Oreochromis niloticus: one gene and its partner. The protein of the gene in region 1 purifies or fractionates together with the protein of each later gene. This does not show direct contact. Links are inferred from orthologs where the notes say so. Each region holds a gene or a part of one and is shown on either strand. Other genes may lie near its edges.

Region 1 (7,215 bases):
TATTGTTTAATGGGTGATCAAGTAAACCAATTAATGCAGTGGCAAACTGATTTTTATGAGGGTATGTGGGGGGAGAAAGTTTGTTACGGTGGTCTTCTTTGCCCAGGCTGCACCACAGTGCTGGATCTCCTTTGTAAAAGGCTTCCTTTAAAATGTTTTTACCGTATATGTAGAAGTATACCATTTTGAGCTAAAATGGCCTCTTGGTATCAAGCCAGTTTGGACTCTTAGAGTTATACTTCATCTGAACATAATTAAGGTCTTTCCTTTATTTATTTATTTTCAAATAAGCCTTCTACAGAGCAGCGAATCTTTGAGCAGCACAATAACGTATTGCGCAATATATTTGAAATTTATATTTTTCCCACTGACAAGCAAATGTAAACACATTCATTTTAGAATGAGCAAATAAAGAAAATCTTTGACTTCAACTGCTTTGGTGTTTGATGATTAAATTGCTGACTGTATGCTGGGAAGCCGTGAGAAAGGGGATTTTATATAAAGGCAATCTTTGTATCGTCTGTGTTTTTTAAGCAGAGATGTTAAAGATACGAGATTATCTCAGTGATGTCACAAGCAGAAATCTTCTCACATTGCACCACGTTTCTAGCTCAAGTTTAGGTAGGGCTCTCAGGACAGACTGTTTCAAATAGTCAAAATAAAAAGTGTTAGTGTCCATTCAGAGTAACGTGACAAGGACACAGCTGCTGATCAGACAACAGTTCTAAAATTTCCACAGACTTCATTTGAGGCAATAACCATTCTTCGGGCGGCATGTTGTTTTACTGGAGAGGAGCAGCAGCTCGCCTACCCTGCATCAGTTTTCTGGATTTTTCCATCAGTCGCCCTGTCTTACGTTATGTTCTGCTGTGGCGACAAAGAGCCTGCAAAGACTAACATTAAGCAACAGCACTTGGTCTGAGTCTCATCAATAAGCAACATGTCCAGTGTACTGAATGCCGATAAAGAAATTGACCTCATACTAAATGAGATCTTAGGAAACGTAAACTATGGCGCAACCCGGGCGCCTCAAACCACAGGGTGAAACCATAAAGATCTGTATTACTGACATTTGCACTGTTTGTTCTGGTTCTTCAGCCTTGTGTCTCCCCTCAAAGTGTTTGTGCACTGAGCACAAAGTGTCCATCCCTCATTAGCAGCATCTTGTCTTGTGTCTTTGATATCTGATGGATTTGGTTTTAGATGTAACTCGTGCATGTGTGTGTGCATTTGTGTGTCTGTACACAATGTTCCTTCTATTCACAGTTCCCCCGCTGGCAAAGCCTGACGGTGTTCACCAATCTGAGACCCCTTCACGTACAGCCCAGTTTCAATTTTTAAACCAAAACAAGGTGATTTAAACTAGTCAAACAGAACCTATATTTACAATTAGATTAACATATGATTTAAACAGGGTAAAACAAGTAGGTGAATGCAGACATACATTAGCATCATTTCAAGTAAATGTTGTGTGTTCTATCAATTTGACCCTTTTAGCTTTTGCTTTTTCTTTATGATAAATATCCAACTATTAAACAATGTAAAGAGGAACAGTGTGCAAAGAGTGACAGCACAGAGATGATGGCATGTAGACTAAATGTACAGCTACTTTGCAGAGGAATGCAGGAACAGAGCATATTAAGACAAAGACACACACACACTTCAGCCTATCTGTACGTTCTGCCTCATATCCGTAGTCTGCTGATTAATATGTGAACGTGTGAGTACACAATGTGCATGGCAAACAGACATCCTGAACCAAAGCACTGTTTGACATACGGGATTTTTTTTCCCCTTTCACCCAACAACCCTTTGCAGAGTTTAAAAAGCGACAGGAGTTGACTTTTTGAAAAAGTCAAAAATTAGGTTTGACGTGAAATTTGACACTGCGAATCTTAAAAATAGATTGTTTTTGTTAAAAGGTAACAGAGAACCCCCCTCCCCCCGTTTTCTTTAAATAACATATCATATCCTTCAGTGCTTTTAAAAACAACAACCAGTTTATCTATATTCCGTATCTACCTTGAGGCAGTTTGATTCATCTCTGGGATGTCGCCTCAGCCTCTGTTTTACAGGGCGACTTGCTTGTGCTGCTTGTGCTTCAAATCTAACTACCCATGCAGGGACGCCCGTGTATTTGAAGTTATTCAAGGGGCCACCATCATATCCTGTAATGTTCAAGTGCTCCAGAATAAATGCTCGAGCGCCAGAGTTGCTGGTGTAATTCTCAGAAACAGTTACACAACCTGTAATTTATGTAGGTACACCTAGGCTTACACGTAGTCTAGATATAAACTGTTGTCCTCATCCTTCCTTTCCACAGGGACCCGCAGCTAAGTGCCACATTTACACACACACACATACACACACACATACTTTCACCTATTAACCCCCACCACCCACCACAAACACACGCGCGCGCGCGCGCAGTGCCTTATCAGCCTTTATTTTCCAGCGCACAGTGGGATATAGCTGTAACCTCATGCGTGTGAAAAATTCGGCATCAATTCTGAGATACGTTTTGATTTTTCTCTCTTTTTGTATATGTGTGTGCGTGTGTGTGTGTGTGTGCGTGTGCTTCTAAAAAGCAGTCTTTAAATACAATGAAGCTAAATCTTCACGATGTATCACAAGTGTCAGTTTAACTCAGCCAGGCATGAATATGCCTTAATTAGCTCCTTAATTAAGTCTGTCAGCAGCAGAATAAAGAGGAGTAAATTAAATCACTTACATGTTCTTGTGATCCGATAATAACAATTTCTTCAGCGAGTCGGTCGGTAAATTGGAAAAGCGCGTCTCTTTCACCTAATTCAAGCCCGCCCTTCTCATCTCATATCCATGGTACTAAATGTTCTGCCCATGTGGTTATTAAGCAGCGCTCTTTCAGTCTAGTTATCCCTCCTTCCCTCCCTCTTTACTTTAATCTCCGTCCTCGCCGGTGACGATAAACCTGCCGGTGTAGTAGTAGCCACATGGAGCTCAGACTTCAAAATGACACCGGGGAGGTAGTGAGGCAGAGAAGCACACAGAGAAAGAAAAGAGAGAGAGAGGGGGGGGGGGGGTAGAGTTGTGGGAGGACGTTTAGAGTAAAATTAAGGGCAGGTCTTGGAAAGCAGCCACAAAGTAACACAATGTTCCGGCTGTACTGTAGCTGTACCGCTGCCGCTGCTGATGAGAACACTGTGTTCCAATAGACACCCTGACCTGTAACCCGTTCCGTGCCGAGACAGCCAGGCCGGGAACAGCCTGTACCGCAGCAGGCTGTCCTCCCCGCTCAGCTGACAACACGTATCATCAACAGTACTGTGTAACAGCCCGCCTGCAGACACAGATGAGGATGTGTAATCACCGAAGTAAAAGCACACCTCACTGCCCGATAAGACGCGCGGTGATACGGATTAGCGCACTGTTTCTGTAGACTTACAAAGAAAAGGGGGGGGAAGTAGCGTCTTTGCTTATCGGAGACTTTTATGGCTTAAAGGACAGTTTTCTGTAACTTATTTCAGGGTAAGGACTTCAACAAAAGCGCATGCATGTTATTTTTTACTACTGTTTCTTTTATTAATTCCTGGTGGTATTTTTCCATTTTGGCATTTTTACTGGGCGGAGATCATTTGTCATCTTTTCCCAAACAGTCTGTGTTTACATTATTGTGGTGTTTACGGCTTTGCAGCAAAGTATGAAGATCTTTTACTAGTTGGAAAAAATACCACTCAACCAAGTTAGATATAAAAATAAAGTCAAATATAAAAGATGATTTTCTGTGTATGCTCCTCATGTTACATACTAATTCTCTATTCTCACTGCAAGGTGTTAGCTTTTGTTTTACTAACTTTGCAAGTAAAATCTTGGCGACAGCTGTTTTGCTGTCAAACCAGTAACTTAAGACATTTTCTTTATTTAAATCTTATTAAAGTACAAACACATATTGATGTACTTAGAGTGAAAAGTCCTGTGTTAGGCGTCCATTTAAATGTATAAACACGGTTCAGATGGTGCTGTGTGTGATTCTAGTATTATGGTATTCTAGTAATGTGCATCATATTCTATTAACTCTTGTTTTGCAAGTCAAATTTTGGGAACTATAAGTTCCTATAAATATAGGCTATATGCACTGTGATAAAAAAAATACAAGTCATTATTAAAAGTAGAAGTACTCATTGTGAGGGAACATAAGGGCAGTCCCTGACAAAGTGCTGAATGATAAGTCAATGTAATAAACCAAGAACAGATGGTGAATATGCCTAATCCTGTCTCATCCTATAAATCATTATTAATCATCAATTAATCATTAACCTCCCGATACAATAGTTTTCATATTTTGTCAGTATTTTACTCTGATGTGGATGCTCACTGGAGCACCTGTATGTTAAACCTGTCTAACCCATTACTGTAGTCCAATAATTGCTACTGTATCTGAGTAAATTACAAAATGAAAATTACTTACTGTGAAGTACAGTTCTTCTTAAAGTCTTCAAAGTTTAATTAAAGTAAAAACCTAAAAAAAAATACCCTTGTCTAAGTGTTACTATATGTAATGGGGCACTATAAACACATTATAATTTGGGAGGTGCTTTTTAACCTGGAAATCCACATGAAGAATAAAATAATAAATATTCAAAATTGTAAATGTCTTTTAGTTACTGAAGTCATTTTGATTCATTATGTATTCCATATTAACAGGATTAGAAAAAAGTGTCACATCTAACACACACCTAAAGTGCTCACTGTGAAGCAATATGTTACATAACAAGTTAAAGTAGCCAACCTGCTTCAGGTGAGCATGAAATGCATTGCATTTTATGAAGGATGCTTTGCAAGTCAAATTTTGTTCTGGTCAACAAAGACCGCAGTTATCAGGAAGAGACAGTTTTCACCTGAAATATACAAGAAGTCAAAATAGTAGTGAAGTACTAAACACACACCAAAAGAGATGAACATGAGAGACACAACACCAAGTATTTTAATATAATATTTCAAAATATTATCAGGATGATATATATATATATAAAAACCCAGCAGGAGTTGATTTATGTTGCAATCAAACTTTTCACAGTGGTCATGTTCTTCTCCAAAGGGCATGTGTTTGAGTATATTTTGACCACGACTCCTAAACAGCCTGTAAGGAGGCAGAAAACTCTCATCATGTGGAAACCCCAGACTCACACTCTGCATGCTGACGAAATCTTGTGTTCAAACAGCCCTGCCTTTATCTCCTTTCTAGGCTTTTTATATTCCCTGATTTGATTAAAGCAAGTGTTTGCTTATTATCACATTCATAGTTAATATGTTTTCTCTTTCACATCCCTAAGATGAACCTTTTTTTTTTTACTGACACATTTACTTTGGAGATAAGAGAAGCTAAAATCCATAGCAATAAAATATTTTTATGGCCTTGCTTTTGTGCTTTTGCAGTTGAGGATGTTGGCATTAATATGTCAATAAACAGTGCTGAAAATATGACACGCTTTATGGCTGCTTCTTGTGTCTATGTTTATCACATTTATTGCATTAAAAACTATAAAATATGCCTCGAATTAATGTCATGACTGAATCATTAACGAGAAGTTAACCAAACTTTGTTCATGTCAGACAGCGAGAGGAAAACTTTTCTTTATAGAACCGAGATGCTCAAAGAGCCTCGTCTCTCTAGATGATGAATCCCACCATTATAGGTGGTAAGGATACTGTCTGACCACACTGCTGGCAGACAACAAGCTGCTATTGAGAGGGAACATGATGATCCTGTTAATTATATAGGTGACATAACACAAGTGAACCTGACTCTGCAAACGCAACAGGGATATTGTCAGCTGGGGTGAGTAATCTTCTGAGCATCTGGTTATCGGAAGAAAGTAGCTTTCACACACATGTGTTTTAGAACATGTTATTCACATTTAAAGGAGGAAAAAAACAGCACAGAAACAGAAAGATGTGGTCGTGTGATGTAAAAACACAACCTCACTATGTCTCAGTGCCCGCATGAAACCTTTAAAATAAAAGTACTGATTATTTAAGATAAAACACCATGTCAGGACGGTTAACTCCTGCACAGGCAAAGGTTGGTTTGTTTGTTTTACCAAAATTCGTGAACTGTGGTGTCCTGGTTGCTTTGTCTCTCTTCTTTTTCCCTACACTGTAATGCTTAACTGGAGGTCAAAATGACCTAAACAGGCTTGGGCTGAACTGAGATGCATGAATAGATATGTATAGTGACACATGGCTTGAGATGTTGTTTTCCTTCCTGAAACATCAAGAACATCTTGTTTCTGTTCTGGTGAAAGCACCCAGGCAGGCGAGAGACAAAAAAAGAAGAAGAAGAAAATGAAAATTAGATGGTCAAAGGTTACATCAATGGTCTGTGGCTGTTTTATATAAATATAATGGGGACATAGATGCAGCTGTAACTTATTTTTAGAACTTAGTGGCCTTCTTACTGCTACTTACCTATCACTTTGCATCAGAAAGTCATTTAATCTTTGCTAAAACAAAACAGTAAACAGCAAAGCTGATAGGTGCTTAACAGATTTTGCTAAATACTGTGTAAAGTACAAAAATCTGACAGGCAGTTGCAAGAATCCGTCTGTCTGAATGAGTATCTTGGTGTAACCAGAAGCACGCGGGTGAGTTCATTCAGGGATACGGGCTGCACAGTCATCAGGAAGTGAAACAGAACAGAATGTGCTGTACTAATCTGATTGAAAAACACTGTGCTGAGTGGATGCTTGAAAAAAGAGATGATTCATTTAAATAGCTACAAGGAGAACCCTATGGCAGCGGGGGAATATATGCACGGAAAAACAAAGGCAGCTTAATGCTTCATTTGGTGAAGCAAAAGGCAAATGTGAGGGCGAGGTTAAAGAAGCACTTGCTGTCACACAAACATGCGCTCTGCAGCTACAGGCTGAGCAACATAATGCTCTTTGTTTGTGTTCTAGGCATCCGTGTTATGTACAGGGGAGTAATCTCCCGAGTGATCCCTTTTATCCCTGAACTTTTGCCCCCCCCTCGAAGCAGGAGTTCTTTACTGTTGTGTCTGCCAAGGGCCCCAAATAAATGAATAACAGCAGTACTATTTTCATCATGTCAACACAAACCTTAAAAGGTTGTGTTTTATTGTCAGCATAGTTCAGTTTTGGTGTGTTTTATGTTATGTTTGACATTTATCACTTTGTATAACTGTCCTGAAAGATATTAACTTCTTTTTGTTTTTGA
Region 2 (7,919 bases), on another chromosome or scaffold:
ATCCTGCAGGGTCTGAATCTCTAACTTGACAGGGCATTTGTAGAAGTGTGACAGCAGTGACTCTGTATAGCCAATCAGGAAGTAAAACTTCTGTGGTGGTAACTTCTGTAGCATCACTGCGCACACATTCAGTAAATTGCCACGCCTTTTGATGACAATCTCATTGGCCAGGCACCCGTGGAACGTCCCAAACATGAACCTCCGAATGAAGACGTCTTCTACAGTGCGTTCAGCTGCCCCGTCCTCTCCTTTGAGGTTACCTATCAGCAAGAGAGAAAAAAAACTGGAGCTGTCATGAAAGATCAAGAGGAATTTGGACTGAATTACACATTAGCTGCCGCTGATTGACAAAAATGTGCAAACGAAAAGAACACTGCCTCTTCAGCAAAATATTTATTAATAAGGCTCACAGTCACATCAGACAACATAAATATTATTTTAAGTTTCTTTACCATGTTTAATATTATGTTTAGAGATATATTTGAAAATATATTTAATTTTAGGCCTTAATTTTGCTTAAATTATGCACTTTCTGTAATAAACTGCAAACACCATATGCAGACACTGAAAAGTATCAAAAGACAGAGAAGAGTTTGATGAAGTCTAAAAAGATTATAAAATGAAAACACTAGTTGCTGCTGTCTGGCTGTGGAGAGCACAAACATCATGACTCCATAAATTGTTTCCCACAGAATGAAATGAACAGCAGCCAAGTGCAGCAGGGAAAAGCTGTGTGCTCGGCCTCACTTCAATAATCTGAGACACTGAACTGGACCTGTCCCGTTCGTGCTGCAGTTTTGATGAGTGAAATTCTATTATTTTATTGCTCTGTTGTTTAGTATGTGTATGGTAATTAACTAATGACTAATGTGATAAATTCTGGTTCCAAAAAGCCAACAGGGTTGCAAGTAAAATACTAACATGGAGGCTTCAAAATGCAGAGTCTAAAACCAACAGGTGATGTCACAGTGGCTACATCCATTGGTTTTCTTTACAGACTATCATTGCATTCCATATAAAAGGAATGCAATGATAAGTCAAAAATCAGCTGTCTCTCCAGCGAGTCTCTCATCTCATGGTCAGACAGGGCCAAACCTCATGGTTTGAGAACAGTTAGAGATAGATGGTGGTTCTCGTTCTTCTATGCAGCCTACTCAGTTCTCCACTTGCTGCAAATTCTAGACACTAACTGGAGAGGCTCAGCAGTGACTAGTCAGCAAGCTGGAAGGTAAACATGATACGTGAAGCGCTGGGTCTTGCCAGCTTTTCTCTTTGAAGGTGCTTGATTGCTGTGGTTCTCTTGAACAGATGAAAATATTTAATCAAATGCTAAAATGAGTTTTGACTTGGAAAATGTGTTGGACACACTTTGAAAACATGGAAATGTTTCCCAGTATCAGTGTGTGGATGGCCTGTGCACAACACTTTAAGTCTGTGACACAGGAGCATTCAAGCTAAAGTGCATAGTTTGGTTGGACTCAGTGATGATTGGTATGTAGTCTGAGAGCTATCCACACCAGGGAAGCACAGAATGCTAATGCTTCCTCAATGACTGCTTCCATAAAAATCACTGAGGTAACTAATTCATGACCAAATACGTAAGAGGACAGTGTGCATAAAATCAAATGTGCGTAGCGAGAGCATATTCTCAATCTCAGTCATGCTCACTGGTGTGCTGTGACAGCCATCCTTTGCGGTGGCCAATGTGGTGAGGATGATGCGCTTGCTCATAGGTCACAGGTTTGTCTCCTTTCCCCACTCGGATACGAGCGGCTCGATTCTGTATAAGAGAAAGACAAAAGAGCACCTCTTTGGTTTATTTGGAGCAAACACTATCAGACACATTGACAGTTAATAATCTATGACAACCTAATTGCCTTTGTAAAAAGCAACAAAAAAAACTCAAATTACTACTATTTTTTTTAAAATGGTTGTGACCTCTAAACCACTCTGACTGTGGCTCTGGTAAAGTATCAGAATACTTCAGGTGATAGAGCAGCAGGTTTATAAAAAGTCAAATAGGAAATAGGCATTTGGATAGTTTGTATCTATCACTCTAAATGATTATATGGGGATGTAAACAAATTTGTTAAAGTATGTTTACAATGAAAACAAAATTAATATATACAAAATACAATACTATTCCCATAAAAGTAAATACTGCCCAGAGACCAGAGAGGGAGCTGCCTCAGGAGAGATATGTGCTCTCCAAATGCTTTATCATTATATTCTACATCTGCAACAATACTTACTTAGATTTTATTTTATTTTATCATCCCTGTGTTTAAAACAAAATGAGCACTGATGTAACAATATAGAGTGTGAAAGTTAAAAAGATAAACACAATGTTAAACAGTTAGTGTTGCTGATACAACAGCCCTGAGACGGCCAAGGCCGCTTACCTTGCAGCACGACGCAGTAACATGGAGGCCCCTGCTTCCAGAGAGGCTGCACAATGATCTGGACCAAGCTAAGGTGCTCTGCGAAACAGGTAAGGTAGTGAGAGTGAAAACCAGTGAGTAAGTATTGAATTGATTTTCAGAAATAATTTCAAAATCAAAAAAGGTACATCTGGCTTCTCCCTTATTTCCCAAAGGGGATGTCAAAGCACGTGGCTCAGCATGTTTGACTTAGCAAAGATAAGCTGGAAGTCCTTGCTGATGCAACACTCCCACTTAGCAGGAAGAGGTGTTGGGCAAGTCGAGGCTTTGTAAAACACTGAAATGTCTGAAGCAATTGTGCTTGAATTGTAATACCTACTGACCACTCTGGCTTTCATTACATCTGCTAATGCTAGTCTGTGAAACAGTGATGTATGCTAGCATTGGACAAACAAGAATACTTACTAAAACTAATAACTTATTACTGCAAATAATTATAATCGAGACATGTTTTGCTGAAACATCCGTACAAACATAAATATTTGGATCATGACAGCAAGCTGTGACTGTAGTGAACAGTGTGCTTTAGCGAATTTTATTTTCTTCCTGTGTTAACATGCAGAGGCTGTTTCAGTTGCTTAATAATGTAGCGCAAAATATTTCAAACCAAGTTATGAAGGTAAATACAAGGAATTGAGATTCTGACTCAGGCCCTCTTGTCTAACACCAGTCTCTGATCTCATTAATGCTCTTCTTGATGAATGGGCAATTATTTCCACAGACAGCCTCCCAAGTCTTGTAGGAAGCTGATTTTGCTGCAAAGGTGGAGCAACTCTCCACTAATGCTTATGGATTTAGCGTGTGATGTCATAGACGCTCCTGTGGGTGTAATGTGCAGGTGGCACAACACTTTTATCCATATAATGCATCTCTGCAACACAATGCACAGATGTCTTGGACATTGTGTCAGAGATGTTGTATCATCAAATCATAGCCAGTCCAAACTAGTGGGCTGTATTGTGAATTATTCCTATTGCAAATTGTTTTAAAGCTGTTTAATAACGAATTGTTAAAAGGTATTTGTCGACATCTTAGTTGCCGTTCTTAGTGTTCAGAATGCAGTTTCAGATATTTTGATAAGGCAAAAGGCTGTTATAGATGTTTCCATGTTTGATAATTCAGGTTCGTAGTGCCACAAACAAACACGCTTGGCTTCTGTGGTCATACAACGCAGTAGTAACAAACTGACACAAACTTTTGCTACGTCTGACATTTTTGCTGTTTATCACTTAGGCAGCCAAGAGCAAGTTAGCTAACCCCTAGCTTAAAATTGTTATATAAAGCCTAACCAAAACGTAGCGCTAAATTAATGGGTGCACGCCGATAGCTACACGGTCAACAAGACTTAATGGAAATTAATTAAATGTTACGGTTTAAAATGACTTTCTTACCAGCACCCTCACGCTCCCTATGCTGCTCAAGGACGCCGCCATGTTTTCTTCAAACGATTAACTTGTGGTACTAAACTACAACACAGCAGGCACTCTGTTTATTACTGTATAAATAGCCGAAGCTTTTCGAAAGCTCAGGAATAATCATAACACGTAAAAATAACAAAATTAACGTTTCTATACTGAACTTGAGCTGTATACTGGAACTGTTTGTTCCACAGGCAGTTTCCACAAGTTTCCACCGGACAACTATTAACCTGAACCAACCGGAAAGAGGGAAAATAAAAGTTTTAAGGTAGTTAAACGAGCGATATTTTAGACTCATTATTATTGACATTGTGCTTTAAGAACAAGGAAAATTGGATGCAAACACACAGTTTAATGTACAGTTTAATTGCTAAATTTTTCCTCACAACATTTTCTCTTACGAGTTGTTATTTAAAGCAAGTTAAAATTCCTGTTTTTAACAGATGCATTTTAAAATATACATTTTTGTTACCTAAAATGTACTCTTTAGTTTTTCCTTCTAATTTAACAATAGTCGTTCTTGTAATTATTAATGATTAATTTGCTTTAAAGATTAATATTATTATTGTGTATAATATACATTAGTACAAAAATTAGTTTTGCATACTTGAGTAATTTTATAGTTATTATTATGTTTCTGTTATGTATTAAGTGTGCTTTATTTAAAAAGAGATTCTTTGAAACCATATACCATATTTGAAAACATATGTCACTTTTCTTGCGATTATTTGTGTTCGTTTATACTTTTGCTTTATTTATAGTGGGTCCACACTGCAGTGGTTCGCCTAACAAGTGAAGGTCAGCCTAAAGTAGCTTAGCCTATCTGTGCTATTAAAAAATAAATACATAAATATGAGTCAAGAACTGAAAAGGGACATCCTAAATGCGTGATTGTTTCGATTTTGTATGTATTAAAAAATAAATAAATACACAAAGACACTACAAATAGCCATAGCTTGTGGGGTTTTTTGTTTGTTTTGTTTTGTTTTGTTTTGATACCCGGTACCCGATATTTGTCAAAGACTGCACACTTATTTTGAAAACGTTGCACCGGAAGTATTTGTATTGTTCTGGAAAGAGGAAAGTAGTTGCTAAGAAGCGTTATCCTACTCGTCCCACTTATTTCTATACTTGTGTTTCTTGGCAAACTGTCATTATTTTGGTGGGATAAGTATTGGCTGGAATAATTTGAAGACTTGTTGAGAGGAATAAAGATTGAAAGCTGCGATGGCGTCGCCGCTGGAGATGACAGAGATGTACGATAATGCTCTTCTGGGGATCCTGCAGCACGTTGGGAACATTCAGGACTTTCTGCAGGTCTATTTTGGGTTCTTGTACCGCAAGACGGACTTTTATCGCCTGCTGTCAAGTCCCAATGATAAAATGGGTTTCCCTCCAGGTGTGGCAGAGAAGATGGTGCTTAAGGTGAAATTTCTCAACATTTTAACCTGTTAAATGTAAATACCTTGGCAACAAACATGACTAAGGGTACAGTTTGTGCACATGCATATTATTTCCAATCACAGGTTAAAAATGAAGCTGTTATAATGTTACGTACACTTCTGTGGTCCTCGAGTTTCTTAGACTGCAGTGATTCGTCGATGAATTAACACCTACATAATACAAAATAACTCCTGTGCTTGGTGATAGCCTTGCAGTCTATATGAGCCACAGACCTATAGCAATGCATTTGTTATTGCCCTAAGACTTCGGTGAAGGTTAGATCCTATGCTAGAGTTGTCTGCCTCTCAAATGATGATAAGCGATAACCTTTAAATCTTTCCTCAGACATTTAAGTTATTCGAGAAGTTGGCGGAGCACGACAGAGAGAGAGCAGTGAGCGAGCTGAAGAAGAGAGAGGAGACTAGGTATGTTCCTCCTACAGTTCAGGAGCTGGAGGTTGCCTCTGAGCCTTGTGAGGAAACCAAGCAGCAGAGCACAGAGGCGGCGCAGATGGAGAACTCTCCCTCCAGTTCTGGGGATGTTTCAGCTCCAGTAGCCTCAGGCACATCCGTCTGCTCTCAGCAGGATAGCAGCAGCACTCCAGCAATTTGTGGAGATCAGGCAGCTGCAGCCAGCTCGAAATCCAAAGCAGAGTGAGTAGCTACTAGCGTTTTTTAACCTTTGAAGCATCTGTTGTTTTAAATATGGTCCAACATAAACATCACTCTGCACACTACAGTGTCTCAGTAAATGCACTTGTCAAGGTCAATTTTAGGCCTTAAAATGACTTTGTGACGGGACGCAGACTTCGGTGAAGGTTAGTTGCAGGTTCTGTTGCAGGGCTAACGCAGAGAGACAGACAACCATTCCACTAACATTCACACCTAAAGGCAATTTAGAATCACTAGTTAACCTAACCCTGCTAACTGTATGTCTCTGGGCTGTGGGAGGAAGCCAGAGTACCCGGAGAGAACCCAGGTAGACACAGGGAGAACATGGAAAATATTTATATTTATAAACTAAGACAGAAAATGTTCACTGCTAACCGACTTAGTTCTGCTGTACTTTGACATACCCTATATTGCCAAAAGTATTCACTCACCCATCTAAATCATTGAATTCAGGTACTCCAATCATTTCCATGGCCACAGGTGTATAAAGTCAAGCACCCATGCATGCAGACAGCTCCTACAAACATTTAGAAGCTCAATGAATTCCAGCATGGTACCATGATAGGATGTCTCATGTTCAACAAGTCAGGTTGTGAATTTTCATTGCTACTAAATATTCCACAGTCAACTGTTAGTGATATTATAACAAAGTAGAAGCAATTGGGAATGTCAGTAACTCAGCCACAAAGTGGTAGGCCATGTAAAATCACAGGAACAGGGATTAGCAGATGCTGAGGTGCATAGTGTGCTGAGGTGGAGTCAGTCGCTGCAGAACTCCAAACTTTATGTGACCTTCAGTTTAGCTCAAGAACAATGCATGAACACACTCCTAAATCTTGTGTTATAGCTGCAAAGGGTGGACCAATATCATATTATACCTGTGGATTAAGAATGGGACATCACTAAAGCACTTATACATATGAAGGGTGATAAGTGAATACTTCTGGCAATATAATGTATAACCACTCTGCACTGTGTGTGAGCAATGCTATGTGCAGACTAAAGTGCCTCAAATTTCAGCAATGTTGAAAAAGACAGAGGAGAAGGAATAAGTGCCTCGATATTGGATGAAGTGATGTGTATAGGATATGGAATGGACGATTATGTGTGATGTATTATATGAAAACAGTGAGATGGGAAAACAGAAAAAATATGTGTGAACTCTCCACTGTATTTGGAGAGTTTAGTGACTACATGTACTGGACTTGAGGCCTAGCAGAAAGCCATTTGCCGCAGCTTCCTGTATAGCCACGAGACTCCAAAATATTTGAACTCCTCCATTTGTGGCAGCAACTTGTACACAACCTGCAGGGGCTACTCTACCCTTTTCTAGTCAAGAGCTGTGGCCTTGGACTTCAAGTTGCTAAATTTCATCCCATCCACTTCATACTTGGACTGGAAGCTGGTCCATTGCGACCTTAAGGTCATCTTGATGAAACCAACAGAAAGACGGCTTTCAAAAGAAGTAGAAGCATAATCCAGACACCTGGCTCTGCTGCAGTATTGTTGAGTTCTCACAATAACAGTGTAATGTCAAGTCTTGTAATCAGTAAGCACATATCCCATCAACAAGTGACACTGGATCTCAGCCTCTGCTTCACTCTTAGGTGGAACCTTCCTGTGAAATTATAGTTTGAAGGTGTTTATTTTTTGTTTGTTTTGTTTTGTTTTCGGGGAGACAACAAAACTAAATTTACTACTTTGGTTTGTTAGACTCGTATTAAATGAATCAAATCATTGAATTACAAATCGTCTCCAGGTTATTGAGGCTCTCGTAACAATATGAAAACTCTGTGATAATTAACAGAAGTTGAATGATTGCAATAGAGGCTGTAATTTGTGTACTAATTATAATAATGATGTCTGATAATTGCAATCAGACTTAAGTATAGTAATCTCCTCCATAATGGAAAACTAAAAGATGCAAGATGGCTGGAGGTGCAACA

Evidence for each region. Proteins that work in one complex are often made in the same cells at the same time.
Region 2: the proteins of fkbp5 (region 1) and nudcd3 purify together in Homo sapiens (affinity purification with mass spectrometry; 3 studies listed by BioGRID and IntAct, with this or other methods). This does not show direct contact. The link is inferred for Oreochromis niloticus from reciprocal best matches to the Homo sapiens genes FKBP5 and NUDCD3.

Annotation. Positions count from the first base shown.
Region 1 is NC_031970.2:16,196,382-16,203,596, reverse strand, and holds the start of fkbp5 (peptidyl-prolyl cis-trans isomerase FKBP5), read right to left. Parts: upstream 3,020-7,215; 5' UTR 2,732-3,019; intron 1-2,731. UniProt on the Homo sapiens protein: Immunophilin protein with PPIase and co-chaperone activities. Component of unligated steroid receptors heterocomplexes through interaction with heat-shock protein 90 (HSP90).
Region 2 is NC_031972.2:9,661,722-9,669,640, forward strand, and holds the start of nudcd3 (nudC domain-containing protein 3), read left to right. Parts: upstream 1-4,899; 5' UTR 4,900-5,086; coding exon 5,087-5,284; intron 5,285-5,647; coding exon 5,648-5,955; intron 5,956-7,919. Other genes in the region: mrps24 (small ribosomal subunit protein uS3m), read right to left, coding at 1-260, 1,669-1,780, 2,403-2,480, 3,833-3,874.